Linked DNA regions of Rattus norvegicus. The protein of the gene in region 3 interacts with the protein of the main gene of each other region in a pairwise test. Links are inferred from orthologs where the notes say so. Each region holds a gene or a part of one and is shown on either strand. Other genes may lie near its edges. The genes, in order: Ntaq1, Ppm1k, Birc2, Nmb, Exosc5, Hsp90b1 and Gcc1.

What was found.
Region 1: the proteins of Birc2 (region 3) and Ntaq1 interact in binary tests that used the Homo sapiens proteins (3 or more experiments, as listed by UniProt). The two-hybrid records come from large-scale screens. The link is inferred for Rattus norvegicus from reciprocal best matches to the Homo sapiens genes BIRC2 and NTAQ1.
Region 2: the proteins of Birc2 (region 3) and Ppm1k interact in binary tests that used the Homo sapiens proteins (3 or more experiments, as listed by UniProt). The two-hybrid records come from large-scale screens. The link is inferred for Rattus norvegicus from reciprocal best matches to the Homo sapiens genes BIRC2 and PPM1K.
Region 4: the proteins of Birc2 (region 3) and Nmb interact in binary tests that used the Homo sapiens proteins (3 or more experiments, as listed by UniProt). The two-hybrid records come from large-scale screens. The link is inferred for Rattus norvegicus from reciprocal best matches to the Homo sapiens genes BIRC2 and NMB.
Region 5: the proteins of Birc2 (region 3) and Exosc5 interact in binary tests that used the Homo sapiens proteins (3 or more experiments, as listed by UniProt). The two-hybrid records come from large-scale screens. The link is inferred for Rattus norvegicus from reciprocal best matches to the Homo sapiens genes BIRC2 and EXOSC5.
Region 6: the proteins of Birc2 (region 3) and Hsp90b1 come close enough for resonance energy transfer, tested with the Homo sapiens proteins (2 studies listed by BioGRID). The link is inferred for Rattus norvegicus from reciprocal best matches to the Homo sapiens genes BIRC2 and HSP90B1.
Region 7: the proteins of Birc2 (region 3) and Gcc1 interact in binary tests that used the Homo sapiens proteins (3 or more experiments, as listed by UniProt). The two-hybrid records come from large-scale screens. The link is inferred for Rattus norvegicus from reciprocal best matches to the Homo sapiens genes BIRC2 and GCC1.

What each region holds. Positions count from the first base shown.
Region 1 is NC_086025.1:91,587,120-91,590,887, forward strand, and holds part of Ntaq1 (protein N-terminal glutamine amidohydrolase), read left to right. Parts: exon of another isoform or gene 1-973; coding exon 974-1,122; exon of another isoform or gene 1,123-1,652; intron 1,653-2,052; coding exon 2,053-2,177; intron 2,178-3,768. UniProt on the Homo sapiens protein: Mediates the side-chain deamidation of N-terminal glutamine residues to glutamate, an important step in N-end rule pathway of protein degradation.
Region 2 is NC_086022.1:88,940,812-88,945,254, reverse strand, and holds the start of Ppm1k (protein phosphatase Mn(2+)-dependent 1K), read right to left. Parts: upstream 2,907-4,443; 5' UTR 2,696-2,906; intron 2,690-2,695; exon of another isoform or gene 2,417-2,689; intron 2,319-2,416; exon of another isoform or gene 2,180-2,318; intron 1,902-2,179; exon of another isoform or gene 1,738-1,901; intron 1-1,737. UniProt on the Homo sapiens protein: Serine/threonine-protein phosphatase component of macronutrients metabolism.
Region 3 is NC_086026.1:13,268,741-13,272,849, forward strand, and holds the start of Birc2 (baculoviral IAP repeat-containing protein 2), read right to left. Parts: upstream 2,801-4,109; 5' UTR 2,159-2,800; coding exon 1,248-2,158; intron 1,167-1,247; exon of another isoform or gene 1,116-1,166; intron 1-1,115. UniProt on the Homo sapiens protein: Multi-functional protein which regulates not only caspases and apoptosis, but also modulates inflammatory signaling and immunity, mitogenic kinase signaling, and cell proliferation, as well as cell invasion and metastasis.
Region 4 is NC_086019.1:144,278,457-144,283,024, forward strand, and holds Nmb (neuromedin-B precursor), read right to left. Parts: upstream 2,967-4,568; 5' UTR 2,902-2,966; coding exon 2,745-2,901; intron 2,210-2,744; coding exon 2,037-2,209; intron 487-2,036; coding exon 463-486; coding exon of another isoform or gene 428-462; 3' UTR 222-427; downstream 1-221. UniProt on the Homo sapiens protein: Stimulates smooth muscle contraction. Induces sighing by acting directly on the pre-Botzinger complex, a cluster of several thousand neurons in the ventrolateral medulla responsible for inspiration during respiratory activity.
Region 5 is NC_086019.1:90,294,592-90,298,947, reverse strand, and holds the start of Exosc5 (exosome complex component RRP46), read right to left. Parts: upstream 3,040-4,356; 5' UTR 2,957-3,039; coding exon 2,809-2,956; intron 1-2,808. Other genes in the region: Bckdha (2-oxoisovalerate dehydrogenase subunit alpha, mitochondrial), read left to right, coding at 3,452-3,559. UniProt on the Homo sapiens protein: Non-catalytic component of the RNA exosome complex which has 3'->5' exoribonuclease activity and participates in a multitude of cellular RNA processing and degradation events.
Region 6 is NC_086025.1:22,999,683-23,002,366, forward strand, and holds part of Hsp90b1 (endoplasmin precursor), read right to left. Parts: intron 2,084-2,684; coding exon 1,814-2,083; intron 1,597-1,813; coding exon 1,351-1,596; intron 960-1,350; coding exon 823-959; intron 1-822.
Region 7 is NC_086022.1:57,999,141-58,003,708, forward strand, and holds the start of Gcc1 (GRIP and coiled-coil domain-containing protein 1), read right to left. Parts: upstream 3,046-4,568; 5' UTR 2,649-3,045; coding exon 1,617-2,648; intron 624-1,616; coding exon 1-623. UniProt on the Homo sapiens protein: Probably involved in maintaining Golgi structure.

The DNA.
Region 1 (3,768 bases), on a different chromosome or scaffold from region 3:
AAGTCATGCTCTTCCTTGCCCTCACCTCGGGAAACCCCTACTTAGCAGTTTGGAGGGCCACTCACTTCCTGTCGCTGTAAATGGTACAGGGGACGAATCACGGTGAGGAGAGGTTATTTTGTGCTCATTTTGGGTTTCAGTCCATGACTGCTTGGCTCTGCATTTGCGCCTGTACTGAGGCACAGACATGTGGTGGGGCAGAGCTGTTTGTCTTATGGCCAAGGAGAGGAAGAAGAGGAAAGGGCTGGGCTCCTAATGTCCTTCAAGGATACACCCCCAGTGACCAGGACACTTCTCACTAGGCTTCACTGTGTTTTTGTTTTTAAGGTCTCAGTATGTAGTTCTGACTGGCCTGGAACTCTGCATGTACCTCAGGCTGGCCTTGGACTCGCAGGGACCCACCTGCCTCTCCCTCTTGAGTGTCAGGATTAAAGTGTGTGTCACCACACCCATTCTGGCTTCACCACTTGAAGCTTCCACTGCCTCTCTATTGCCACCCTGATAAGTAAGCCTTCAATACAAGGTTTTTTTTTTTTTTTTTTTCCCCCTGGGGGTGAGGGTGAATGGGTAGTGAAGATCCGAAGTGTAGAAGATACCTTTGAAGCCTTCTTTTGCATTCATGCATGTGAATAAGTATATGCTTCTTAATGCACATTTTGATCTTTACATGCTCAAACCTTGAAATATAATACAAAATACATCTGCGTCCTACAATCAGTTTTTCTGTCCAACTATAGAACATGGGGTGTTACGGAACAGTGTGTCACACACTGATTGTTTAGCCGTGTCCCAGTCACTGGCCACTTTTCAGAGTTGCGGCTTTGTGTTTCCTCTCATTTAGCTTAGGAGTTACAAGGAGAGGACGTTAGGCCGACGGCTGCTTCCCTGCTAATGTGCTGCTGTGTGCTGACCGTGATGTTGGGATGGACCGTCCTGCACTAACTGGGTTAACCTCAGTGATTATTATTCCTAGGATTATCATGTCGTTCTGCTTCATGTGTCAAGGGAAGGACAGAGCTTCATTTATGACCTTGATACTATTTTGCCATTTCCCTGCCCTTTCGACATTTACATAGAAGATGCCCTTAAGTCTGATGATGACATTCATCCACAGTTTAGGAGGTGAGGAAATTCAGTACCAAGCTACTGATTTTCTGAAGTAAGACTTGGTGATTACACAGAAGTCCCCTCTCTGCCTCCTTCCTCCTTTCCCTCCCTTTCCTTTTCTCAGTCTTTTTCTCTCTTCTCCCCTCCCCCTCTGCGCTTCCTCTCCCTTCTCCTCTGTCTCCACCCTCCTCTTTCTGCATTATTGGTGTGCCTGTTATGCAAGAGCTTAAGAGCATCTTAAAGCTTTAAAGGTTCCTCGTCATTCAAAGGGTTGGCGGCATTATAAATATCAGTGTGCTGAGGACCAGCCAAGCTTGAAGACCCAGGTTCCATCTCTGAGATTCACAGGGTGGAAAGAAAGAATTGATATCTATAGATTACCTTTGACCATAAACACACACACACACACACACACACACACACACACACACACACACACGTGTTAAGAAAAAAGTGTGGGTTGGGGATTTAGCTCAGTGGTAGAGTGCTTGCCTAGCAAGGCCCTGGGTTCGGTCCCCAGCTCTGAAAAAAAAAAAAGAAAGAAAGAAAAAAGTGTGATGAGCTCAACATTTTCTTTCAGATGTGTTGAGGGTTTTTCTCTTGTTGCTGGAGTGTCAGCATGGCCAATGTTGTCAAAATCAAGAAAGTTGCAAGGCAACAGCAAAAGTCCTACCCTTTGCCCCTTCTGTGCAGTGTTACTAGAATGCTGGACCCCTTATGTGTAAATAAGAACAACTGGGTGATTTGCTCTCTGTATTTTCACAGCTTGGGGTTTCAGTCATTCCCTTCCGCTTGTACTAGCCACGCACATGTGCATGCATTCGTATCGGTGTGGAAACTCAGGAGTAGCCTTGTGTATCTCATAGAACAGAGTCCAGTTAGCAATGAGTTGGATTGCCAGCGGTGATAACTCCCTGATAGAAACGTGTGTTGATTTACCCGCAGGAAATTCAGAGTGGTTCGTGCTGACTCCTACTTGAAGAACTTTGCTTCTGACCGGTCTCACATGAAGGACTCGAGTGGGAACTGGAGAGAGCCCCCTCCAGAGTACCCCTGCATTGAAACTGGAGGTGAGCTGTGACTTTGCCTGTTCATTGCTCAGATCTGTGTCTCTCTTAGTCGGCTTGTTTAGTTTTGAGACAGGGTTTCTCTGTGTAGCCTTGGCTGTCTCGGAGCTCGCTCTCTAGACCAGACTGGCTGGCCTCTAACTCACAGAAATCCTCTTTCCTCTGCCTCCTGTGTGCTGGCACTAAGGGCATGAGCCACCTCTGCCTGTCTAGCCATCTTTGGAGAAGCTCCCCAAGTGGTGAGGATAAATGAGGGTACCCGTCCTCTGTACCTCCTGGATTCAGCAGTTAAGGCACAGAGAACAGGACTGGAAGGCAAAAGCCTTCTTGGGGAGAGTCCGAACAGAGGAACAGAAGCCATGGCAGTAGCCAACTGCTTGTTGTTGTAAACGTCTGCTGGGATGTTTACACACCGGTGTGTCCTACTGGGATCAGTAGCACATGGCTGTGCTGGGGTTTTATTCACTGCTAAAAGAAATCCCCGGTGCATCCTCCCAGTGTGTGAGGTGTCATTTTAGTAACCCTGTAATAAACCTATGTTCAGAGAGTTTTATCGTGACACTTCCTTTCTGTGCTTCTCGGCAGTAGTCCAGTTGAGGGCGCCCTGAGAGTTAACAGAGCAGGCTGTTCCCTCTGTTTACTTTTGTTCCGTACTCATATGCTTTCGAGACATTGTCTGTGACTGTAAATTGTTCACACCATTCCAGTTATGGGTGAGATCATCCCATCACATGGCTAATGTGGTCTGCAGGAAAATGGCCTGTAGGCTATGCAGGATTCTTCAGAAACAGGGCAAGGTCATCAGTAGCTCTTTAGGGAAGAAAGCATAAAACAGCTAACGTATTTGAAGGGCATGGACTCTTAATGAGGGTTCTCAAGTCTCAGCAAGAAGATAATGAAAGAAACCACAACAAAAACTGTAATTGCTTCCTCTTGTCTTACCCTAGCTTTCCCATGACAGCCATGAGAGCTGTGTTAGGAAAAGGTGACTGGGTACCCTGGGGCTAACCTGGGCACCTAGTGCCTTGGGGTGGTGGGGGGAGGTGACTGGGTACCCTGGGGCTAGCCTGGGCACCTAGTGCCTTCCGGGGGACCCATTTCCTGTGTAGATGTGGATTCCTGCAGCCTGGTACTCGGTTGATAATTAGCACACGGTCTTATCAGGACTTGGTCCTTTTCTTTGCAACTCAGTGCACAGTAGGTCATAGCACATGTGGCCTTATCAGCCGGTAGCTCTAGGTGCCATGCTAAGCTTTAGCTAGCTTCTGCACATATAAACGTAATCTGTAATGCGAGCTGGGAAGATGGCTAGATTGGTCAAATGCCTGCCGAACAAGCATGAGGACCCGATTTGAATCTACACTCCCCCCATCCCCCTGTCTCCTGGAGCAGAGATTTTTCTCTATAGCCCTGGCTGTCTTGGAACTCACTCCATAGACCAGGTTGACCTTGAACTCACAGACCTGCCTGCCTCTGCCTTCCCAGTGCTGGGGTTAAAGGTGTGTGCCAGTACAGCCCAGCTGAGTTGGGATCTTCAGTGCCCACACAAAAGGCAGGTGTGGTGGCATCTTTAATCCTAGCACAGGAGGGGTGG
Region 2 (4,443 bases), on a different chromosome or scaffold from region 3:
CACAACTTAACCACATCAGTCTTTAAATTTATGTTCATGTCCAAAATTTAACATGCACTCCAGGGGCTGGAGAGATGGCTCAGAGGTTAAAAGCACTGACTGCTCTTCCAGTTAACCTGAGTTCAATTCCCAGCAACCACAAGGTGGCTCACAACCATCTGTGATGGGATCCGATTCCATCCTCTAGTGTGTCTGAAGACAGCGACCTTGTACTCACCTAAAATAAATATTTTTTAAAAAATGCATTTTAGCTTACATTCTCTATTATAAATATATGAAAATATGCCTTTCCCACCATTTCCACATGATTTATGTGACTAAGCCTTTCTCCCCCATCTTCCTCCTCAACCTGCTACTTGAAAATTGACAGGAAAGAAATGAAGAACTAAATAAAATTGCAATGTTAGAACAACATCAATGCCATATAAGTAACTCCATCTAGCAGGAATCTCAGCTCAAAAAGTTAAAGAAGCTGTGAGAGCGTCATAATCACAGATTGTCTTCAAGAGAGTACTGTGAAACACACATTTCCAGAGCGGCAATCTCAGGCCAAAGACATCCACAAAGGAGCTTTGTGGGGTGGTCCACCCCTAGATTCTCGACACTTGGAGGGGTGAGGCAGGAGGGTCAGGAATGAACGGCCCGTCTGGACTACTTAAGACCCAGTTAACAAGAAAAACCATCAGTAAACAGAGCACCTGCCTCGTAAAGTTTGCAGATCACCATTTCATTTCATAGCACAGGGACCCCCACACACAAACAGATGCAAGACTATCGCACCAACTTTACTTTTCATACTTCCCGGTCTTTATACTTGCTCAGTAGTTTAACTCCAGAGCTGTTCAATTTCATTTTTGGAAAAAGGAGGCATTATCTCCATAGCAGGTTTTGACACCGGGAATTTGAATGCCAAAAACAACTCAAAGAGGAAGTTCATTCTTACCACTTTACGCAAGCACCCAGCAGGATTAACTAACTGGGGGTTCTGACAATCAGCAGAGGGCTTAGATTTTTCCGCCCTCTAGGAAGCTGGTGAGGTAACTATAAAGTGGCACTTTGTTATCTTCCCATAATGGAAACACATGATAATTTTTATATGTATGTATGTATGTATGTATGTATGTATGTATGTATGTATGTATGTATGTATGTATGTGGCAGTGCAGGCCAGCACAGGCAGTCACAGGTTAGAGGACATCTTGTAGGCATACCTTCTCGTGCCCTAAAGTAGGTCTTGGTGCTAGAAATCAGCAGGCGGTCACTTTTACTAGTCAAGCCACATCACCAGCCTGATTTTTTTTAATATTCTCAAACTCCAAATTTCTTTACCACCATCCATCATCACCAGCAAAAACCCAGTGCACCCCAATAAATAACTAAAGCCATCTGAAAACTTCAGAAATGAACTTTAGAAAATCGGCAATCTTAATGTCTTTATGTCCTCTTAGAAGAAAGAAAATGTATTAGTTTACTGGAGAAAAGAAAACAACAAAAAGGTCAACGACTCCCTTAGGTCGTATGTGAAAGTCTGTTTGGATAGGCGAACTGAGAATACAGTATGGAAAAGTATTACTCAACTCTGTGAAGGGGTGTGTGTGATGTAGTCAAGGAAAAAGAGACTCGGATTTCTAGAAAAACAATTATAAACAAGAACCCATTATCCAAAGCTTCCTATTTAATGACACTTGTCATACAGTGGTGAGCTGGTTTCCAATTTCCACAAGCTCCAACACACACCAGCAAGACGACACCCTCCCTTCCGCGAAGCTCTGGAGATCTGGATCTCAGGCCGCCCCCAGGTTTTCTCACCGGGGTACGGGTCCAGCAGAGGCCACATCTGCTCAACCGGGTTGGTGCACACCTGGGGGTAAGGGGCTTCGCAGTTTCTATTCCTGCAGCTCCTACAACGAAAACACCAGTGGAGCTTTTGAGACTCGAAATTTTCTAGCTATTTCTACCCAGAGCCTCAATCTTTGTCTCCTCCGGGTAAATTTTCTCTTATGCAGAAAGCGGCTGCGAAAACCCGCACCTCGAGCCACATGTCCCTAAGATAGTGCTCTCCTACCAAGGCAAAACACAAGCTCTCAGATCCAAACAAACCGCCAGGGCTCCACAACCCTTTTCTAACCAGTCTCTTCACAAGTCCCGAATGGACAGGGTTCTGGGCTGGTTTACTGGCCTTGACCAAAGCTGGACGTGGCAGAACACTCTCCAGCCCGGGCAGCCCAGCAGATCTCCCGGCATCCGGAGTCTTCTGGCCGAGAAATAGGTCCGGAGGAAGCCTGTTATAGCCCGCTGGAGCGCACCAAGGGGTCTCGCTGCGAGGAATCAGAGCGGCTTCAGTTATCTTAGCTCGCTTTCTGATTTTTCCATGGGACCCCGCCCATCCCACTATCCCTGCTTCCCTGGCGCTCACTTCCAGCCCGAGGTCAAGTTCAAGGCCGATCGGGGCTGTGTCTGGGGAGCCGGATGCTCGGGCACAGCCGCCGAGGGCCTAGGCGAGAGCAGCTGCTCTCCACCTCGAGAAACGGGGAGCACATCGAGCCCGGAGAGATGCGCGTAGGACTCGGCCTCAGAGTAAGCTGCAGGAACTCATTTCATATTTCTCTTTCTCCTTCCTGAAGACCTCCGGGGACCGCCAATGTCTTGTCAATAACCTAGGAGAATAAACGAATCGAACTCTTCAGGCTCTTACCTTGTAATGGCTTGTGTCTGTAAATTTCTTAATTGGCTAATGGAAGGAAGGGAAGGCTTTCTTGGATGATAAATAAAGCTGAGTTCTCTGTTGATTCTGATCTCCAGACCAAGCAATTAGAGAAGCCACAGCCTCCTCCACTCCTGGAAATTCTTGAAAAAAAATTTCAACCGCAGCTGGCCAAATGGAGACCCGGAGGAGTATGTTTCTGATGATTGACAACAACGCTAGCCAGTTGGTGCTCAGCAGGGCAGGGCTCCTTGCCCGCCCTCAATCTGAGCCAATTACGGATCTAGATAAGAACGAGCCTCCTGCACTGGCGATTTGGCCTCTCAGATTGCCAATTAAGCCCTGTAGACAGACGTCAAATTGGGCCAGTAGCTGTTCGACATGGCGCCCCGCCCTCCCGATGAGCCTTGGCGGCCTCGAATCAGACGCCAGGGACCTTGTTTTTCGCTAGCCACAGGAAGGAGTATCGCTTCTGCCAGAGTTATCTTGGCTGTGACCCGAAAGAGAACAGGACAGCTACGCTTTGCTTGTAGAGCACTTGTACGTCATTCAGTGTTCTTGCTCGTTCTTTAACAAATCACAGAGCAATGTTCTTTGGACTGCCATAACAGGCATCTTGGGATGGCTCGCAACTATCCTGCATACCATAAAAATTCCATCTTTCGAAGGAAGCATTGCCTAGGATCTGGGGGCGTCCCAAATGACTCAAATAATCTAACTGCTTTTAGAACCTTCGGTCTAATAAGGAAGAAGAGGAAGCAAGGCAACAAATAAACAGTAAAAGAAAAATCACATCAAGAGAGGGAATGACTGAGGTGTGGATGGAGAACACTGGGCAGTGAATTTACGTAGGGCGCTGAGTCCCACAGGAACTAGTCAAGGAAAGATGGAGCTGAGCAAAAGGCAACAGCAGATGCCTTTCAGGCTGTATGAGCACACTACTGAAACCTGCCCAGGAGTATTGGCCAACACGAAACTAACTCCATGGTTTTTGTGTGGGGGTGGTTTTTTTTTTTTTTGACACTTTTTAGTCTTAATTTGTTTTTGTTTTGATTTTTGGGTTTTTGTTTGAGACAGTGAGAGTGCATACACAAAGTTAAGTGGGTAAGGAAGTGGGGGGGTATGTGAAAGGAATTGTGGGAAGGGGAAAGAATATGCTCAATATATGAATGGAATAAGTTCTAATTAAAAATATTCTTATAATTCATAATTAAGTCGTGTTGCCTAGTTGCACCTCCTGGCCCAAGAGCATCTGAAGATCCAGTGCATTTAATAATAATACGTTTAGACAGCGATATTCGTGTTGACGCCTCACTAACTCTAATGACTTGTGTTGGGTAGAGAGTCAATTTTCATAAAGCTCTTGAAATTATTACTGGATCTAGCATACAGACAGAAAAGTGCGCATACTGGATGTGGCTCAAGAGATCTTCACAACATGCAGCCTGACTCTGTATCCAGCACCTGACCAAGACAATGTTTCTAAGCCCAGGAGCAGTTCATCCTGCCATCTCACTACTGCTTCCTTGCAGGAGCAGCCTCTGTGCTGACTTTTAACACAGCAGATTAATTCTGCCTTTACACCTGATGTGTATTAAACCGCAACCTATGCGTTCTATTTGCTTACTTGGCTAACTGTGGCTCAACGATGTATTTGTAAGATTTTTTTCCCATGTTGCTATACAGTCGGGGTCTTGATACCTTTCCATTTTGCAATTCGATCATAGCTTATGCATTTA
Region 3 (4,109 bases):
AGTCTTGCCACCTGAGTTGGTCTGGGGTTCACAATGTGGCCCAAGTTAATGTTGACTGGACAACTGCTTCAGCCTCCAAACTGCTAGAATTATAGTGTGTGCCACCACATCTAGACAAAATTAACACTTTTAAGTAAATTAAATATATCAGTTTTCAGAACAACAAAAGAAAGGAATCAAAATCTATCTTTTTGTTTTGGTTTTTGAGACGGTTCTAAGTAGTCCAAGTTGGTTTCAAAAGTTGTATCAGACTCCTGAATGTTAACACTACATTGGACCTGACATACAAAAATTTTGATCATAGTTCATGATAATTTTATTTTGGAGACAGGGTCTCACTATACTCTCCTAGCTGACCTGAACTTGCTAAGTAGAATGCATGCCTCTGCTCCCAGTGGCTGAGATTAAAGGCATGTGGACGTGGGTGCATTACCTGGCCCATCATATAACTATTTACTGTTTAACAATGTATTGATCCAATATAAATAATTAAATCAAAATTCCTGTTCATCATGGACCATACAGAAGTGAAAGGTCCCTGTAACTCCCTCAAAGAGTCCAACAATTCCTCATTACCATGGACGGCATGCAGGGGTCCAAGCTCTCTTTACTGTATACTCCCACTTATATACGTTGTGGATGTAGTACCTAGAGTAGGAAGGTTCAGATATAGCAGGCAGAAGGGTCGGTGCCGGGGGTGTGTGCAAGTGTAGAGGATGTTTCATCTGGAGAGGATGAGGGCTCTGGGGGTGACTCTAAAACAGTACTCGTGTCCTTTACACCACAGAAGAATACATTTCAGATGGCTAAATTAGTAAACTTTATGTGTATTTTAACATAACAAAAACACCTAACAGTCCATTCATTTTAAAAATGAGGTCCAACTGCACATAGCTGATCAGTGTCAAATACAAAAATTCCAATTTTATTTCACTAACAACTGTGCTCTTAAATTTATTCTAAGCAATAATAAAAATTAAGAGGTTAGGGATGTAAGCAAGAGAATTTGTCAACCAGATGTGAAGCCCTGGGTTCAATCCTCCATACCACAATAATAAACAAATTTTAAAAGTTTTTAAGAACCAATTACCAAGCCTGGCAGTGGTGGTACAGACCTTTAATCCCAGCACTCAGGAGGCAGAAGCAGGTAGATCTCTCTGAGTTCAAGTCCAGACTGGTCTGCAGAGTGAGTTCCAAAGCTACGCTGAGAAACCCAGTCTTGAAAACAAACAAAAAGAACCAATTACCTTGGAAACCATTTGGCATGTTCTATCCAGGGGTCATCTCCGGGTTCCCAACATCTCAAGCCACCATCACAACAAAAGCATTTGACATCATCATTGTGATCCACATAATAAAATCCAGCACTTGCAAGCTGCTCAGGCTGAACAAGAACACTCGATGGCCAGTACAGAAACGTCCTCATCCGAGCAGAGTGTGTCTGCATACTGAGATTGGATACACTAAACCTCTGCGTTTCTGAAGTATTTTCCAGAAATGGACAGTGGGGAAAATGTCTCCTGTGCTCTGACAGAGGATCATCGTTCGGTTCCCAGTTGCTCAGTTTCCCACCACAGGCAAAACAGGCCACCCTGTCTCCAGGCCCTGTGTAGTAGAAGCCTGCTTTGGCCAGCTCTGCTGGGGACAGAAAACTTAATGGCCACATACTGTAAGAAAGAAACCTGGCCTCTTCTGTACTCATGGCATAGCTGCAGGGATTCATCCTCAACGAGAAGTCTTCCACTGCTCTAGAATTGAGAGGGTTTGAGGGCAGGCTGGAATGAATGCCACCTTGTTCCAGAGGTAGCGAGTGTGCAAATCTACTTTTCGCAGGAGACGTGTTCTTAGCTGCAGACTGCAGACCGCCTGAAAGCAAAGTCTGCACAAAGCTGCAGCTGGGATAGAACTGTCTGTGCTTCTCAGTGGGACTGTCCCCTTGTTTCCAGTTGTCCAGCATCAGGCCACAGCAGAAGCACTTGACCTTGTCATTGACACCTGTGTAGTAAAAGCCAGCACGAGCCAGACTCCTCTCTGAGACAGGAACTCCCCTGGGAAAAGCTGAGTATGTGGACATTCTGTAGAGTTCACATGAAAAGTCATACTTCATTTTTTCTTTGTTTTCTTTTGTCCAATTTGACAAGACTGTGCTATTCTCCATTATACCGTTAGTTTACTGGGGTAAGGCACCCTGGACAAGTCTCTGGGAGAGTTCTGTGCAGGAATAGTAATAGTATTTCTGGCAGCTTAAACTTCCATATGAAGCTCCTCACTACTTCACACAAGATCTCTACCATAGACGGGAATGAGACAGCAGACAGCTAACTGGACACATTCACGGTCTTCTGACTGAACTGATGAGTTCACACTCACAGGACAAATCTGTCTCATATGACAAGACACTGCTCGGGACTCTCTGGGAAATCACATGAACTCTTCTGGGTAACCCGAGAGCTATAGACCCAGAACCTACTTCTCGTTATTAGTTATAGGGCAACTGCTGACTGTATATATGCGGGCTCTTTTCCCTTTAAGGACTTAAATCTGATGTCTGAACTACTTCTTTTCCTAGCAAAGGAAAGGACCTGAAGTCTGCATCCTGTATTTCCTCAGAACTAATGTCATACAGCTCATCATTATCACAGGACTCTCTAAAGTGGGTTACATCAACTGCATAACTTCCAGGGAAGTCAGCACAGCTCTACTAAGACTACAGGATTTGTTATAAATAAACAGTGCTTAAAGCATAAACTATTACTCTCTCATTGTTATATAAATCTCATATATCACCACCTTAATTCTGTGTCTATCATTTTAATACATCTGGTCAACAGACAGTATTTTGTACATAATCTTAGACTGCATTTTATAAAGTCTGCCAGTGTTTAAGGCCCAATTCACTATAAGTCTATTATAATTAAGAATGAGTCAATTGGAGACATGGCTTTCTTCTGTTATCACAAATACAAGAACCCTGTTTCACCACGGCTTTTCTGCTGCACAAATGTACCATACTCGTCTTCTTTTCGAAAACTCAGGATTTTATGTAACTATTCATTGTGTATGTGTACTCCAAGCAAACTGCATCTTCTTATAAAAATGTTCAGATCTTCATGTCTGGGCTTATTTCTATGGGAACATGGGAGAACATAAAGGCTCTTGAGGGCTATAAATCTGAAAGAAAAAAAGATATTTTTGAAAACTAATTGCACAGAATTGTCCTCCTCAATTTATTCAATAATGTCTAAAAACGGCCATTCTAGATAACACATCCAACTACAGCAGTTCCTCTCCCAAGTCTACTTAGAAAGGCTCCAAATCAAGGCACACACTGCGAAAGTACTCCTGAAGTACTAACTATGCCTGTCTTTAAAGTGCACAGCGCTGTATTGTTTAACAAGCAAAACTGAAAACAAATGCACATTTCCATTTGACAAAAATTGGTCCCTGATTTCAAGTTTGTTCATTTTATGTATTTTTTATTTACTATTAGACAAAAATGCACCATACTTAATGAACATTTTTTAAGGGACAGAGTCTTATTCAGCAGCCTAGGCTGGCTAGAAAGTCAATGTAACCCAAACTGGTTTTAAAACTTGGAATTCTCCTGCCTCAGCCTCCCAAGTAATAGGAACAGGCTACCAACAGGCTCCTTTTGATTTCTGATTTAAAGCTATTTTGATCTAGCACTTGACTGGAGACAAAAGGCACCTGTTAATAGTGAAAACATGGGTCTGAAGGACTGTTGCTATATTTGCCTTGCAGGTAAAGGACCCTAGGTTTAATCACAAGAAAAAAATTATATATTTTATATTATATTAAAACTATAAATTAAAATATAAATACAAATAATGTATTATAAAATATATTCATACACATAAATATGTGGATATAATACATAAATACAATATAAAATAAACAATATAATAGATATTTTATATTAAAATATAAGTATTTCCTGAGGATTCCCGAGGCATGCCTGCAATCTTAATCTCAACACTTGGAAGATGGAGGTAGGAAGAATGAGATGCTCCTGCTAGACAGAACAGTTGAACTAGCCAGGACTTAATTGGCCACAATAAAGGCACCGGGAAGAGCTCATTAACGGAATC
Region 4 (4,568 bases), on a different chromosome or scaffold from region 3:
CTCCCGTTGCAGGGGAAGACTTTGTAGCAGAACTCATGGGTGGCAATGGTCAGTGCAGCCAACACAATACCTGGTTGCTGAGAGTTGGCAACCACTCATTGTCTGGCTGGTGCCAGGGTGAGAGGTGATGGGGCTTTCCCAAGACCACCTCTCTGAACATTCCACCCTCCAGAGAGCCCTTCCCTTTTTCCTCAAATGTGGGTGGAAGGAGAGGCCCAGACAGTCTTCGTAAAGAGCAGTATTTTTATTCACAACTTCACCAGGGAAGCAAGAAATACAGCAGGAAAGACTGTGTCTGTATCGTTAACATTCCTGGTGACCCAACCAGAAATCACAGTAACAGAGTAACACATTTGAGCTTAGGTTTCACATCCAGAGGAGGCCACTGCTAGGGTTCCATTCCTCAGTTTCCCTGGATGGACGCATGCTACGCCCAGTGCCGTGTTTGTTCCATTATTGGCGTCACTTCTGCAGCAGCCTCCTGTACTGAAGGCAAAAGAGAAAACTCGATCCTGGAGTCCACGAATGAGGGATATGCTGAGTGTACACAGGGGGGCAGTAGTGACAGGCTCTCAGCTGAGCCTCTGAGTGAGAACCCTTCTCCCTGAAAGACCTGAGGAGTCAGGGGTAATGGTTTTCCCAGAATCTAGCCCTAACTTTCACAGGGTAGTCATGACAACCAAAGGGCACTACAGAAATCAAGCCCAAGGCATTAGACAAGTGTCAGTGACATGCCGTACCCCCCAAGCTCTGCTCCAGATCTCACTGAATTCTCCCTGTCCCTGGCCATGGCAGCTTTGCACCCTCTGAGATTCTCTGATTGGTCCCTAGAGGTGATGCTCCCCCCCGCCCCCATTCAGCCAGCCCAAATTTCTCACTATTGCATCCGAGGTTCCAGGGATGTTCGCTGGGACTGGAGGTAGACCTGCTTCTAAGGAATGTCTCTTCTTTGAGAATGTGCACACTGTGCTAAGTGTAGTGGGGGACAGGAAGGGTGTCACCAGCAAAGCCCTGCTAGAGGCTTGCAGACATGTGGTAGGAGCTCCTGCTTACCAAGAGCTTTCTGTGTGACTGGCACTGGACTGCATATGTGACACTAATGATCTTATCTACTGGGAGGTGGGCCTGTTGTTTCTATTTGATGAATAACATATTTCTAAGGTCACTTAGCTACTTAGCTAGGTATGGCCTCCACATGCATTCTGCCCCATCACACTACCTTCTGTACAGAGCTACAAATACCAAGACAGTAGTGTGCAGTGGGGACAACACCAGGAGCCAAGAATGGAGAGGCTGCCACCCAACCAGGCAGAACCCCACGGCCTTGAGCACCACGGGTCAATGCTTTACAACCAACAGTAATGTCTGAAGGCCTTGGCTTTTGTTTTCCCCAAACTCCCTATCTCAAACCATCCTCCTGCCTCAACCTCTGAGGCATTTGGGACTGCAGGCAAGTGCATTGCTCTTGGTCTGGAGGGAATTTTGGTTATCACAACTTGGTGAGGAAGGAATGTGCCACTGGCATCTGGTAGGTAGAGACCGGGGATGTGCTAAGCCTCCTTAGTGCTCAAGACAGCCCTGCAGAGCCTTTCTGTCAGGAGCACTGGCATTGGGAAATGGATGGGGAGGTTGATGAGCAGGCTGCGTCTGAGTTGTCACGACTGGTAACTTTCCTTCCACCTCTAGGCCTCAGGGATCACAGCTCGGGACACAAGCACAGACTGGCATGGCAAAGGTGGGCTTGGCTAATACACCAGATGACAGCTGGGGTGGACAAGGCTGTGTGGCCTGGAGAACACTCTATTTAAGGGCTAGAGTACTCCTAGTCTGTGACTTCAGACTGGGGATGGGCAAGGAGGAACTCCTTTCCCCTGTAGTCTGCTGCGTCATGTTTTAGTCTTTGGGATATTCCTCCTTTGAGCCCTGGGACCCTGGCTTTCTGGAATCCATTCACATTCCGCTCTGGCTAGGCAGTCCCACCCTGAACCCATACAGGGTGGCAATTCTTCCGTGCTGGTACTGGGGAAGGGACTTACCTGGATTGGGGGAGCTGGACCACTGAGGTTCATGCCTAGCGCTTTCTGTAGCAGGAGGATCCTGAGCAGATCATGACTCAGCTGTAGTCTCTGCTCCCTCTGGGTGATAGGGGGTGCTGTACCCACCAGTGACAGGCTCGGGGGTTCCAGACTCTTCTTGCCCATGAAGTGACCTACAAAAAGGAGGTGCCGAGGTACATGGAAGCTAGGGATGAGGGCCCTATTACCATAAGCAAGTTCTGGTCTATTCTACCATTCAGCTCTCACAGAGGGTAGATAAGAAACATTCTCCTCAGCAAGAAGCCACAGATCTCTGGGCGGAGGAAAGCTGACCCGTTGCAAGACGAAGAAGGGTAGATAGCTCGGGACCAGGGAGATTACCAACCAGGGAAGGAAATGGAGAAGGTGCCTCGAGATGGATATGCAGAGAAGATACCAGGTGAGAAAACCTGGTAGTTTGCCTAAGGGAAGGGGGATCGACTGGTAACCAGATCTAACTAAGATGCTGGCCCAGCTCTGTCTTAAACTTGCTAAGTGGGTTATCTTAGCCATGTCTGTGAGTGCTAGGGTCCCAAGATTCCCGTCTCTCAAACTTGATGAGCTCACGGGTCTGCAGGAGCTCCGCTACTAAGAGCCTCCAGAGGGTTGAAAAGACAATTGAGTACCAAGGTGAGTGAGGCATCCCTGTCGGAGTCCCCTAACACTTACCAGTCGCCCAGAGGTTGCCCCGAGGGTGCACTCGAATCTTGCTTGCTCGGCTGCGGGGCTCCGGGAGATCCCAGGAAAAGGGGGTGATGCCGGAAACGAACAAGGCAAAGAGCAGGAGACCACGGAGCAGCCAAGTGCTCCCTGCTTGCCGGGTCATGGCTGTGCCAAACGGGTTTTCTCTGGCACTCTCAGGATACTAGCTAGTTCTTGAAGCCCGCCTTCCAGCCTTTTAAACTACAGTCTGGAGCGGAGCCTGCCTGAGGAGCGGAGCTCGCTCCGCCCCAGAGCCCCGCCCCCTGCAGGCTCCGCCCACACAGCCTTGCCACCCTGAGGTTTCTAGCAGAAACCTACTATAGTCACGTGCAACCTGGCATGTGGCATCGCCCCCACCCCAGCAAAGGTGGTTCCCAAGACCCTCCTTGGCCACCAACACAGCTTTCTGCCATCGTGTTACATCAGCCCTCAAAGCTTCTCCTTAAAGCTAAAGTGGAACAAGAAGCCCTGCTCTTGGCAGCATGTGTTTGGCATCATCCGGCAGAGAAACTCCAACGAAAGAATCCTGTCACCTCCTGTCTCAAGCCATCTGAGCCTTGCTTGTACCGCTCTGCTCTCACAAATGGCACACACTGGGCAACCTGGAAAAGTTCTGTGCCCAGAATGGGGACAGAATGATGGGGAAGGGAGCGAGGAGTGGCGCCCTTTGGAGGGCCTGGCTTACTATACTCGGTATTAGGCCGACCTACCCTGTAGGTCAGATCAGTAGAAAGACTGCTGGACCAGATGACACTTTCTTCTATTGTAAAACGGAAATAACCACACCACCTATATATACCTTTAATAGTTTTGCATTTTTTAGTACAACTATTTGTGGCTTGTTTATTTCTTTTCGAGGAATGGTCTCTTTGTGTAGCCCTGGCTGTCCTGGAACTCACTACGGAGCCGCGGCTGGCCTCGAATTCAGAGCTGCCTGCCTCTGCCTCCTGAGTGCTGGGGTTAAAGGTGTGCACCACTGCCTGACAGTACAAGTACTTGCAGAGGAGCAGAACTGTCTTCCAGAGCTGTCCTTACCAGTCTTGGAAAATACCTTCAGCCATCAGTGGCACCACTGAGTGAGCAGGGGCAGGTATGTGCCAACTGAGCATTGTGGGAGGGACAGGAGGGGATGCCAACTCCTGGCTTCCAAGAGTTCACCTTCTCATTGGAAACAAGGGCAAGGAGTGGATGATGGAATGTGGTGTTAGGTCTTGGACCCTTTGCTGCAGCATTTGAGCCTCCTAGCATAATCTTTTTGCTTTGAGACATGAGCTATGTAGTTCAGTTGTCCTGGAACTCGCTATGTAGACCATAGTGTGAGCCACTCTGCTCACCTTGGTCTGCTGTCCTTCCTCCTACACATAGCAGGTGTCCTGTGGATCACCGTCCCAGGAGGGGGATTTGCATTCTGTGGATGTCAGGGGTTAGCACATTAGGCATTTCCCTCAGTTGTATTCCGTGTGTGTGTGTGTGTGTGTGTGTGTGTGTGTGTGTGTGTGTACACCCACATGTAGAGGCCAGAGGACAACTTTCAGGGGTCAGTTCTGCTTTGTTTGGGGCAAGGTCTCTTGCTTCTGCTGTCTGCCATGCAGATTCTGGGTTATTCTCTCATCCATACTCTCATCTCACCGTAGGACACTGGTCACACATATGTGTACATACAGTTCGTCTTGTACGTTGTAAGAATCTGAGCTTAGCTCAGCCTTGTTGCACCAATTGTCTTGAGGCTGGGTCTCTTGCTGAAACTGAAGCTCACCGATTTAAGGCTGGCTAGGCAGTATTCCTAGGGAT
Region 5 (4,356 bases), on a different chromosome or scaffold from region 3:
AAGCAGAAAATAGGATGACAAACCTACACGGGCAGCTTCCGGGGCTCTGTAGGTTTCCACTGGACTTTTTTTTCTTCCTTCCTTCCCCCGCCCCTTAAAAGATTTATTTATTTTATTTATATGAGTACACTGTGGCTGTCTCCAGACACACCAGAAGAGGGCATCGGATCCCATTACAGGTGGTTGGTTGCTGGGATTTGAACTGAGGACCTCTGGAGGAGCAGTCAGTGCTCTTAACCACTGGGCCATCTCTCCAGCCCTCCATTGGACTTTCTGCAGTCAGGTTCTGTGTGGTCAAGGCTGGCCTCGCCCATGCTGTGCAGCTGAGTGACCCTGGCACGAGCTGCTCCTCCTGCCTTTATTTATCTCCCTGCTGCTAGGATTAGGGGTTCAGTACCATCGGTTTTGTTTTTGTTGGGTTTTTTTCTTTTTATCAATTTTGCTTGTAAGGTAAGACACTGTGCTGGCTAGTTACTTCCTTTGCTTTGCATTTGGTAAACTCAGCACGAGTTAGCCATACCTGGAAAGAGGAAACTCAACTGAGGCAACTGAGGGACTGCCTCCATCAGAAGGGTCTGTAGGCAAGTCTGCAGGGGAATTCACACACTCCCGGACCCAAGGCATTTCACTGATTAACAACTGATATGGAAGGGTCCCACTCGCTGTGGGCGGCGCTGCTGTTGGGCAGGTGGTCCTGGGTTATAAATGAAAACAGGCTGAGCAAGCCATGAAAGGCAAGGGCTCCTCCATGGTTCAGTTCCTGCTTCAATGGACTTGGGGTATGTAGGCCAAACAAACCTTTTCCTCCACAGGTTGCTTCTGGTCATGGTCCTTATTAGAGCAAGAGGAGCCTAATGAGGTCAGCTATGAAGTAATAGGGTTAGTGTGTCATTTATCACATATACCCATCATTTGCACTGCTCACTGATGCCACGCCCCCTCCCATAGGGTGTTCTTGCAGGAGCCTTTGAGGTCAGATGTGTCTGCAACATTTTTTTAAAAAGATTTATTTATTTATTATATATAAGTACACTGTCGCTGTCTTCAGACACACCAGAAGAGGACATCAAATCCCATTACAGATGGTTGTGAGCCACCATGTGGTTGCTGGGAATTGAACTCAGGACCTCTGGAAGAGCAGTCAGTGCTCTTAACCACTGAGCCATCTCTCCAGCCCCATCTGCAACATTCTTTTTGAAAGTCTGCAAGGTCTCCAATTTGCACCAGGGCCCCGTGGTTTAGAGTTTTAGAACATGGAAGGGTTCCCATTCTATTTCTTATATCTCGAGAGACAGGAGACGCTGAGTTTAGCAAGTGAGCAAAACCAGGAGCCAGCCTGGGATGAGAACACTATTACATCTGCGGGTGCTTTTCCAAGGAAACCCAATGGGACAGGGTCTTAGCGCCAACATCTGCCCTGAAACCAGAAGTGACCCAACTAGACTCAGGTGCTTACTAGAGCTACACAGTAGCTGTTCCTGTTCTGCTGTATAAACTGTGCTCTCGGCAAGCAAAATAGTCTCTTCTTTCCCACCATCTCTACAACGGGGCTACAGAAATTCTCCCCTTTTCAGTCCCTAGGATTTATTTTATTTTTAATTATGTGCATGCATGCTTGTGCAAGCCCCCCCTCTCTTTCTCTGTGTGTGTGTGTGTGTGTGTGTGTGTGTGTGTGTGTGTGTGTGTGTCCCTGCATGCAGAGGCTTCTAATCCCCTAGCTCCTGAGTTACAAGTGCTTGACAGCCTCCTGAATAGATGTTGGGAACTGAACTTTGTCCTCTTCAAGAGCCACAAGTGTTCTTAACCACCAAACCATCTCTCCAGTTCCCGGTTGTCTCCCTTTTTTTTTCTCCCCAAGACAGGGTTTCCTGGAACTCCTCTCCACAAACCAGGCTGGCCTCGAACTCATAGAGACCCTGCCTCTGTTTCCCAAGTGTTGTGACTAAAGGTGTTATTTCTTTTCTTAAGCTCCTGTCAGTCTTCAACTCTTGTCCCATCTACCAGATCCCTTCCCAGGAAAATGCCTGAACAGTTGTCTTAACTGTCCTTTCTTGCTCTCTCTGACCCACCACTACCCCACACTAACTTACTAGCCATAAAGTGATCAGCTCTTAATATCTCAAACACAACTCCCCATTGTCAACTCCATCTTTGTCCTCTTCATTTGTCTACTCTGGTAGTTTTTTACCCTCCCATGACCTCTCAAAGTTGGTTGGCTGGACTGGGATACAGGGTTATGTGGGCCTCAGCCTCGAGATCTCTCTTTTCTTTCTATTCATTTACCCTGATGAGACGTGTATACCAAGGAAAGGCATGTTTTCTCAAATGATGGGACCAGAGAAGGGGAGCTACTTGTTAGCCCAGGATGGGAGGATCACGTTCAATTTTCAGAGCATTTACTTAGGTATATCACCTGCCACAGTAATTATATTTAAACCAGTAGTGGTGATGTGTCTGTCTCAAAGGGTATTTATGCAAATAAACACCTTAGCCTCAACCGATGATGTATGGATCCAGAAGTGTTTTTTAAGAAATCTAGTCAAGGATAATATTTGCCTTGGTGAAACACCTATTCTGGAATATTCACTCTTAGGAGAGGGGTCTTGCCCTGGATTTCTTCCAAGAGGTATTGACCAGCCTGGCCAAATCATTTCTTCTCGAGTCGGGAGGTGGGTATACGCAATATCTAGAAATAAATTCTCCAAGGAGGTGGGCGTACTTGGTTGCACACTACACAGTAACCGCTCTTCAAAAACCCTTCTTCGGTGAGGATGGCGCGCGCTGAGTTAAACCTTGTTAAAGTCGTACCTTGCAGAAAAGAAGCAGATCCATCCGGCCGGGACAGCAGGTTTTGCTCACAAGCAAAGTGCCGGAGGCTGCAGACTGGACTTCGAGGGCTGGACTCTGTTCCGGTGTCAGTGAGTACCTTGGCGTCTGCACGCTTTGCTCCCTCCATAGCCGCTGACCACGCGCGCTGGGGCTCCTACCGTAGCTTCCGCTCAGCCGCACGCGCAGTTCTACCGGCCGTGTACCTACCGCGCAAGCGCCAATCTAGGGCACTCCCGAAGTGGCCCTAGCACGTGGCTCGGCGTTTACTAACAATCTGGTCCTGCCCACCTCCACCTCCCAATTCTGGCAAAGCCATTGGAGAATAGGGAATAAGGGGCAGGACTTGGACTAGGCCCATTTTGCCCAAGGCCCCGGGCCCTGAACCCTGGAGGTTCAAGTGAGGTTGTCCTTTTTATTGCCTGATATTGGAACAACTCCAAGCAGACGACTGGAGCAATTTTAAAGAATAAAAATGGTCAACTTACTTATTTCTACGTCTTTGTTGCTAGGCGGTTGGAAGAAAATAGTGCGTTGGCCTAGTGGTGCTGAGATTTGAATAAGGCATCTGATGGGACAGACGCATGTCTATCTCCTGAGAAAGGAGGAGTGGTTACTAGCCAAGATGGCGGTAGCGATGTCCGCGGCCAAGATCTGGAGGCCGAGCCGTGGCCTGCGCCAGGCTGCCCTCTTGCTGTTGGGGCGACCTGGGGCTCGGGGCTTGGCTAGATTCGTGAGTACCTGGCCCCCACAGTGTCTTTCTTGGGGAGAAATAGAGACGTAACTGTTATTGTTACAGTGTGCGTGGGGCACCGCGGGCTGTGAAGGAAGAGCAGATTCAGAAAGAAAAGGACCGGGAAACTTTTTGAAGAGAAATTCAAGGGAAGGCTCCCTTTAGAGCAAAAGCAAGGCAGCTACTTGCGGGCTTCGATGGAAGGAGACGAGTAAGGGATGAGACGGGGGTTGAAAGGACAGATCAGGTTTTCATAGGGTTCTACATTACTTAAATTCCAATTGTAAAGGGAGTCGAGCAAGAAACTCGTTTGTTTCCTATGTCCCCTGACCAAAATTCAAGGCGAGGGACTTTTCCATGACTGTCATTTACAGAAGATGATCATGAAGGGAGACAGAGCGAGAAGTTCAAACAGGACCCTTTGCCCACGTTATTTTTTTTTTTGAGACAGGATCTCACCCACTCATCTGGGATGGCCTTTAGCTCACCCAGATGCTTAGATAGGTATCCGAACTGGAGATAGTCCTGTCCCAGTCTCCCAAGTCCTGATATTACAGATGTGCGCTACGGTGCTTGGCTGCCCACTTTTCTTGAAAACACTCGAGAAAACTCGGAATCTCTTTTGATCTATTGTTGATAAGGGCAGGATAACACTTCCAAATGCTGTTGCGATCTGGCGATGTACCACAGTGCAGAATGCTTGCCTCACACTTGCCACGTCCAGAATTTGGCTCCTAGCCCCGCGCTTTTTGTTTATCTGGATATGGCGACATGTGTCTGTAATTTCAGCGCTTGGG
Region 6 (2,684 bases), on a different chromosome or scaffold from region 3:
GTACTCTAGCTTTAATTACAGAAAAAAGCCTAGAATAGCCATGGTTAAGTGATAAAAATGAAATAAAAGGGACCACTTAATGATGAGTCAAAGTAACCAAGTTCTGCTGGGTGAATGAACTGGTTTAATGTCTTGTTCATCCCCTTAATATTTTACCTATACCAATGAGTCACATAGTTATGGATGCTGTGTAAATATATAATTTCCAATATGCCTTTACCAGTGTCCCTAAAAATTCACTTATTTTTAAATAGATCCCGATTAAGTTTCCAGTGCATGCTGTATACATGCATGGTCATTAGCTTTTTCCAAGGCCAGATATACCACACATCCACCTAGGGCTTAGAGTACTTCCGACAGTCATCCTGACAGTCTGATGTTCACCAAGTCTGGAACTAGGTGTAATGCAGTAAGTGCTGAAATGGTGAGTAACTTTGCTGACACTACAGTTGGGTTTTAAATGGCACTACAACGTTGGATAGAAGATATACGGCAGTGTTCTTTACGAAGAACTTAAGTCTTAGAGAGTCAGGCAGGTCTGAAATGCCTTTAACCCCAGCAGTAGAAAGGCAGAGGTAGGTGGGTCTCCTTGAGTTCAGGCCAGCCTGATCTACAGAGTTCCAGGAAAGCCAGAGCTACTCAGAAACCCTGTCTCAAAACCAACCAAACAAACAACCCAAAACAAAACCGCTAGTGAGGCATGATGTAAATGTGGACATTATTCTTACTCTAAAGCAAAACTAAGGAAGATCAGGGTGATACATGTTCCAGTTCAAAAGAACAAGATCTGGCACCCTGGAAGGGGCACCCCCAGTTTCTTACTTTGTAGAGATGTCCTTGCCCGTCTGGTATGCTTGTGCCTTCATGATCCTCTCCATGTTTCCAGACCATCCATACTGGCTGGCCACAAGGGCACAGGGAGACTCTGTGAGGCGCTGGGACACCACAGCCTTTTCGATCTTAGAATGAGAAACATTAGACAGAAGGAAGGATCAGCAGTGTCAGTCACCATCCCAGAGCATAGACACTCAGTGAATCTGAATTTTTTCAGCTACAAATTTATACTAAACCTGTAAAAACTTAGTAAAAATCAGTATTACAGCAACAGGAAACTGCTGTAAGTTGCAAACTCACACTGCCCTGTATTTGATGGCATTTTTGAGGGGCAGGTGGGTCTTCCACAACAAATGAATGTATCACTGAGCTCTATGTCCAGGTCCCTGTTGTCACTCCCGAGTACCCGAGGCACACGCCACTGTCTGCAGTTGCTAGTGGTAATGAACAAACTGGGTGTAGACTAGCTTGCTGTTAATTCCTGTGTGGAGACACTACAGTCTGCGGTCCAAATACCTTGTCCTTGAGGGCCTTATCTTTCATCCAGTTGAGCAGAGGCTCAAACTCCTTCTCTGTTGCTTCCCGACTTTCTTTACTTTTCTCACTCTCATCAAACTTCACTCCTTCTTTGGCAACATTCTGGAACCGTTTCCCATCAAACTCAGGAAGAGCCTGAATGCAGTATTCATCCACGGGCTCTGTGAGGTAAATAACTTCATAGCCCTTCTTCAGAAGCCTCTCAACAAACGGAGAAGATTCAGCCTACAAGATTAAAGGAAGTATGAGTTTTCAAGTTCTGCCTTGGCACATTAGCTGTGTCTCCATACCGTTAACAACCCCGTGTGAGACAGGGACATAAGGCAGTGTCCTCTAGCGGCTGTCTAACTAGTCCAGCTACACGACTAACTTCTTTCCCTCACACACTGTCTACACGCCCCCAGCTGGCTACCAGGAACCTAGCGGCTGCACTTCATCTTACCTCTTTTCTGCTTGACCCAGCCATGAAGTAGATTTTGTCCTGTTTTTCCTTCATTCTTTCCACATACTGGTCTAAACTAGTAATGTCAGTTGAATGGTGAGAAGACTGGAACCTAAGAAGTTTAGCAAGCCGTGTTCGATTTGAGTGATCTTCAATCACACCAAGCTTGATATTGGTGCCAAATTCTTTCCAGAAAGTGTCATTATATTTCTCATCAGCGATCTTCTTGATCATGTCCAGAGTTTTGCGGACAAGCTTCTTCCTAATCACCTAAAGAAAAATGGAATCTGGTTAGGAAGGTTTCTCTCAAACTTTTGCTAAAGAGACCAGGATAGCAGCACCTGAGGCAGCACAATGGCCACACTACTGATCAAGGGACAGGAAGAACCACAGCGCTCCCACATCAGACTGTGTTAGAACTAACAACAACTGTTTCTAATGTTAATATTCTAGTGCTACAGCTCAGATATTTAGACAAAATGACTAATATTTTCAAATGCTTAAAAACAAAACAAAAACCCTAGTTTTCTAATCACAACAATACTGGCAAAAGGGCTTATTGAAAGGCCTAGTATGTGGTCAACTGTGGACAGACAGTAGGTAGGTGTGTTCCCTGCTTTCATCTCTGTTCAAAACTGTACTAAGGGTTGGGGGAATGTAACAGCTTTGAGATCCAATAATCTCAGAATCAAACAAGTTCCTTTTTGAGATGGTCTTAAGTTAGGGTAGCCGCAAACCCTGGCTTAACTAGCATGACCATGTCATCCTCCTGCTTTTTCCTTCAAGCTGTTAAGATTATAGGCCTGCACTGATGTTGTGTCTGGTAGAGTTTCTTTGAATAGTCAAAGACCAGCCTTGCTTCACTTGCTTC
Region 7 (4,568 bases), on a different chromosome or scaffold from region 3:
CAGTCCTCAGCCTCCTGCTGGTGCTGGTTTTCAAGCTCCTCACAGGACAGACGCAGGGAGATATACTTGTCCTTCAACTCCGCAAGCTGCTCCTGTGCGGCCTCGAGCTCCTTCCCCAGGTTCCCATCTTTGGTGTTCTTGCTTTTGAGCACCACTTGGGCTCTCATCTTGTACCGCTCAAACTCTTCCTTCAGCTGCTTCAGCTCCTGTTGGTAGTAAAGCGCAGTAGCCTTTTCCCCATCCGCAGCCTCTGAGTTGGCCATTATATCAGGGTCACAGAGCTTCTCTACATCCAGGGTCACCTGGCTTTTCCTAGCTGCAACCTGCAGGAGCCTCTTGAGCTTCTCCATCTTGTCCTTCAAGACATTGATATCCAGACTGGATTCGTCTCCATGGATGTCAAGAGAGGGCCGGCTGGAGGCTGCAAGGGCCAGTGTCTTGTTCTCCAAGTCCAACTGTAAAATTCGATCCTTCAACTTCTGGATGGCCAGCTGGTCTTTCTGCTTGGCTTTCTCATAGGTGCCCAGCAGTTCAGACACCTCAGAGATCTGGTTCTCCAGGGCTGCTACCCTTTGCTCCTCTACCTGAGACTGCTGGCGAAGCTGGTCCTCTGCAAGGGCTGTCTGCAAAGCAAAGAACAGGTGACAAGGCGTCCAGGAAAGTCACAAAACCCTACAGTCAACCGGATATGGGGGAGCAAGACAGAAGTGAACAGGGCTTGGGATGACCCAGAACAAGCGGGATTTATAATTGAAACTCCTTTGTATATGTGCTGTTTCTACCACAGTTTCCCACTTTTCACTAAGCTTGAATACAAAATGTGTTCCTTCCTGTTAGTCCCGCACCTTCCGAATCATTTAAAGAAGCCGCATAACATTCTTTCCCTTTCCCAACATTCCTGGAAACTGAAAACCAACCTGGATCCCTCTCTCCATTGAAAGGGAACACTGCAAAAACAGTTTTAGTTCTAAAACAGGCAAACCTCAACCGAGCGCATACACGAGACGCTTCTCCCAGGAAAACCCCCTTTGCTTCCTTCCTACCTATAAGCACACACTTCTCAGGACACACACAATCTTTCCCTAAATAGCTGTCACTATACTGCCTCAAACAGCCCACACTGGTAAGATGCCAACACCCAGAGGCCTAGATAGAGCTGTTTGGCTTGAACCCAGAAATACTCAGAAACTCCTCATCCTGTTAAAAGGACACCACACAAAACAAGATTTCCTAGGACTCACTAGTGGACTTTCTCACTTGACATCAAATATCAGTGTGCATATCAGGAAGGTGGAACCGACCACAATCCCAGCACTCACCCACTAACAAGCATCAGGCATTCCTTGACTAGAACAAAACCCTGTTCTAAGTAGAGAAGAGGGTGCCTTTAATACTAGCACTTGGTACGGAAAAGCAGGCAGATCTCTATGAGGGCAGACTTGGTTACATGAGAAGACCCTGCCTCATGAAACACACACACACACACACACACACACACACACACGCACAGGAGCGTGCACATATACGACAGTTATCTAATGACCAAAAGAGAAAAATGATACTAATATTTCCTATGGAAGTTAAAATAACTGTTTGAAGGACATAAAAATAATTACCTTCCTCATTTCTTGCTGCAACTGGGCCTGGAAATGGCTTTTAAGACGGGCAGCCTCCTGCTGAAGCTCCTGCAGCCGGGGATCTGGTCGGTTCTTCTCCTCTCGAATGGCTTGCAGCTCACCTTTCAGCTCCTCTACCTCACGGGTCAGCTGCTTGGTCTGCAGTTCAAACCCTTCTAGCTGATCAGCTGCATACGCCCGCCCTGCCAAGGCTTCCCTGGTCTCTTCTAGCCGAAGTTCCAGGTCCTGGCGTTGGGTCCTCTCCTCCTGCAAAAGCTTCTGTAGCTCCCGCAGCATCAAGGCATGGTCACTCTGCTCCTGGGCGCGATCGTGCTGCTGTGTAATAAGTCGGGCTTTGGTTTCTGCTATCTGCTCTTGCAGCCCCTTCAAGTCTCCCTCCAGGCGGCCCCGCTCTTCCTCTGCCTTTTTATTGGCATCTTCTAAGTCCTGCTTCATCTTCTTCTTATCCGCCAGGTAAGACGCTTCCATTCGGGACTTTTCCTGAGTGACTGTAGCCAAGGAGCTAGTCAAAGTGGCCAATTGAGTCTTCAGCTGATGCACTCTTTTGTCTATCTCACTACCCGCAGATGGCCCATCCCCACTGCTACTGCTAACGCCACTCTCTGACCCACTGGCCTCTTCAGACTTTGGAGGAAGTGGTCCACGGGCCACTCTGTCATCTTCAACCCCAAATTCACCCTTGACACTTGTAAGACTGGCTGCGGTATCCAAGCTCGTGGCAGTTCCGGTGCTATCCTCACTGTGAGTGGAGCACCGGTCATCCACAGAATCAGGAAACGTGAGACCCGGAGGCTGCACACCTGAGAGGCCTGCATCTGCCTCGTGGGATACCGACAGTACCTTGATGCTGGCCTCCAGGGCTTCTTTCTCCTTCAGCAGGCTTTTATAGGCGCGAACCACATCCTTGAGCCTTGCCTGGTACTGGAGAAGCTGCTTTTTCTGTGTCTCTATGGTCTCTAAGAGATCCTTCTTGCTTGGGCCGCCCCCGAAATTCATCCCAAACTTCTCCATGAGGGTTCCGGAGTGGGATGCTCCACGTCAGCGTTCTTGCAGCCCTGGACAGAGCCACAACAGCTAGAAGTAAAGCAGAGAGAATCGTCTGGCTGCAGGCAATACACCCGGTCGTCCAGCGGTCCGGGCGGGATGAGGGGCCGCGGTGGCCAGGCAAAAGCACTGTGAGAGCCAGGCCGAAGGTGGGAAACAGTTCCAACCTGGATGCGGAGTGACGCTGGCCTAGCAGGAACACTCAGCCAGGGCTCTCCGGTACAGGCCCTGATCCTGTGCCGCCCTAGCTGCTCGCCTGGCCACCGCAACCTAGACCCGCCTCCCTCCGCCCACGATCAGCCCAGGATTTACACTAAGACCGGTTCCATCACGATTTCCCAACAACTGGGACAACAACGCTTCCGGGTCCACTGGAAGTGACGACAGCAAAACGCCACAGACCCCGCCCCCGGCGGGCATGAGATGGGTGGGGCTTCCGCACCCAGTATTCGCTGGTGGCCTGGAGAGAGAGTAACCTGTAGGTATAGTTACCCAAAGCGAAGTCAAGATCACCTGAGCAGTTGTTTGGAGAAGATGCCTAACTTTGCCCTCAAACTACCACCAGTGAGCGACAGGGGGCGACGTCACACTGCATTTGCCCCCCCCCCAAAAAAAAAAAAACGATGAAAGACGCATCAAACTATTTGGGGCAATTTCCAACATTTAGGGCAACAGTTAGGACTCATACTAGGAAAACGAGCCCAGTACCTAGTTAACATAATAGCTCCCTTGTTTAGTTCTGCTTAGTAAGAGGGACATTATATAGCTATAAGGTCCATCTTGCATACCAGCATATGCTGGGGTGGGGGCTGTCTCACAAGAGTTTTTGCTATTTAGTCTTTGCAAAATTCTGTTCAGAGGGTATCATTAGCACCAATTTACATTTACTGGAACATACAGTAAATGTACAGAGGGGTAACATGCCCAATGTCACTCAGCTAGTAAGTTTAGGAATCCTATCTCAGTCTGCCTCTCACCATACTAAATGCTATGCCTGATGGCACCATTGAAGAAACATGGCCTTGGTCCCGAGAAACTCCTAACAGCAAGGACATGCAAACAAGTAGATGCTGCCCTCACACTAGTATAGTATGTAAGGGTATAGTTGAAGGGTATAAAAGAGGCGAGGCACCTGTCAGAAGGACAGAGACTCTTAGGGGAAATGACTTGAAGTTTGAGGAATGAGTAAAGACTGCCAAACTGCAAATGTGGGAAACCAGCATCAAGAAAAGCGGAAACGTTTACAGGAACCTCTGAGGTATCTATCAGTGAGCCTGACTTGCCCAGGAAGCTTATGGTGTGGGAGGTGGGTGGCTATTGATGAATCTGGAACAAAGGGTAGGACCCAACTTAAAGGCATTTAGATTTCATCTTGGGTGACAAGACATTAAAAGATTTTCATCTCCGGAGGGCACCATCAAGACTCTTTGCTTTTGTCCATTCCATCAAGACTCCTGTGGGGTTTTTAAGATGGTTCAGCAGTAAAGACGATTTTCACCAGGCCCAGTGACCTGACCTAAGTTCTATCACCAGGACCCACACGGTGGAAGGAGAGAACACACCCCTACAAGTTGTTCTCTGAGCTCTACACACCTCCACACACGAACACAACATAAAAGTGGGGAGGGGCTAAAAACAAAGAAGACTCCTGTGATATTATGAAGATACCAAGCCTGTGAGGAGGCTCACTCTGAAAGAGAGAGAGAGAGAGAGAGAGAGAGAGAGAGAGAGAGAACGCGTTTGAAGAAAATATTTCTGTAATAAAAATCTGCTCAGGAGGCCAAGCCGGCCGCATCTCTGTGAGTTCGTGACCAGGTTGGTCTACATAGCAAGTTCCAGACCACCCAAGGCTACATAGTGTTTCAAAACAATAGACAATATGCTACT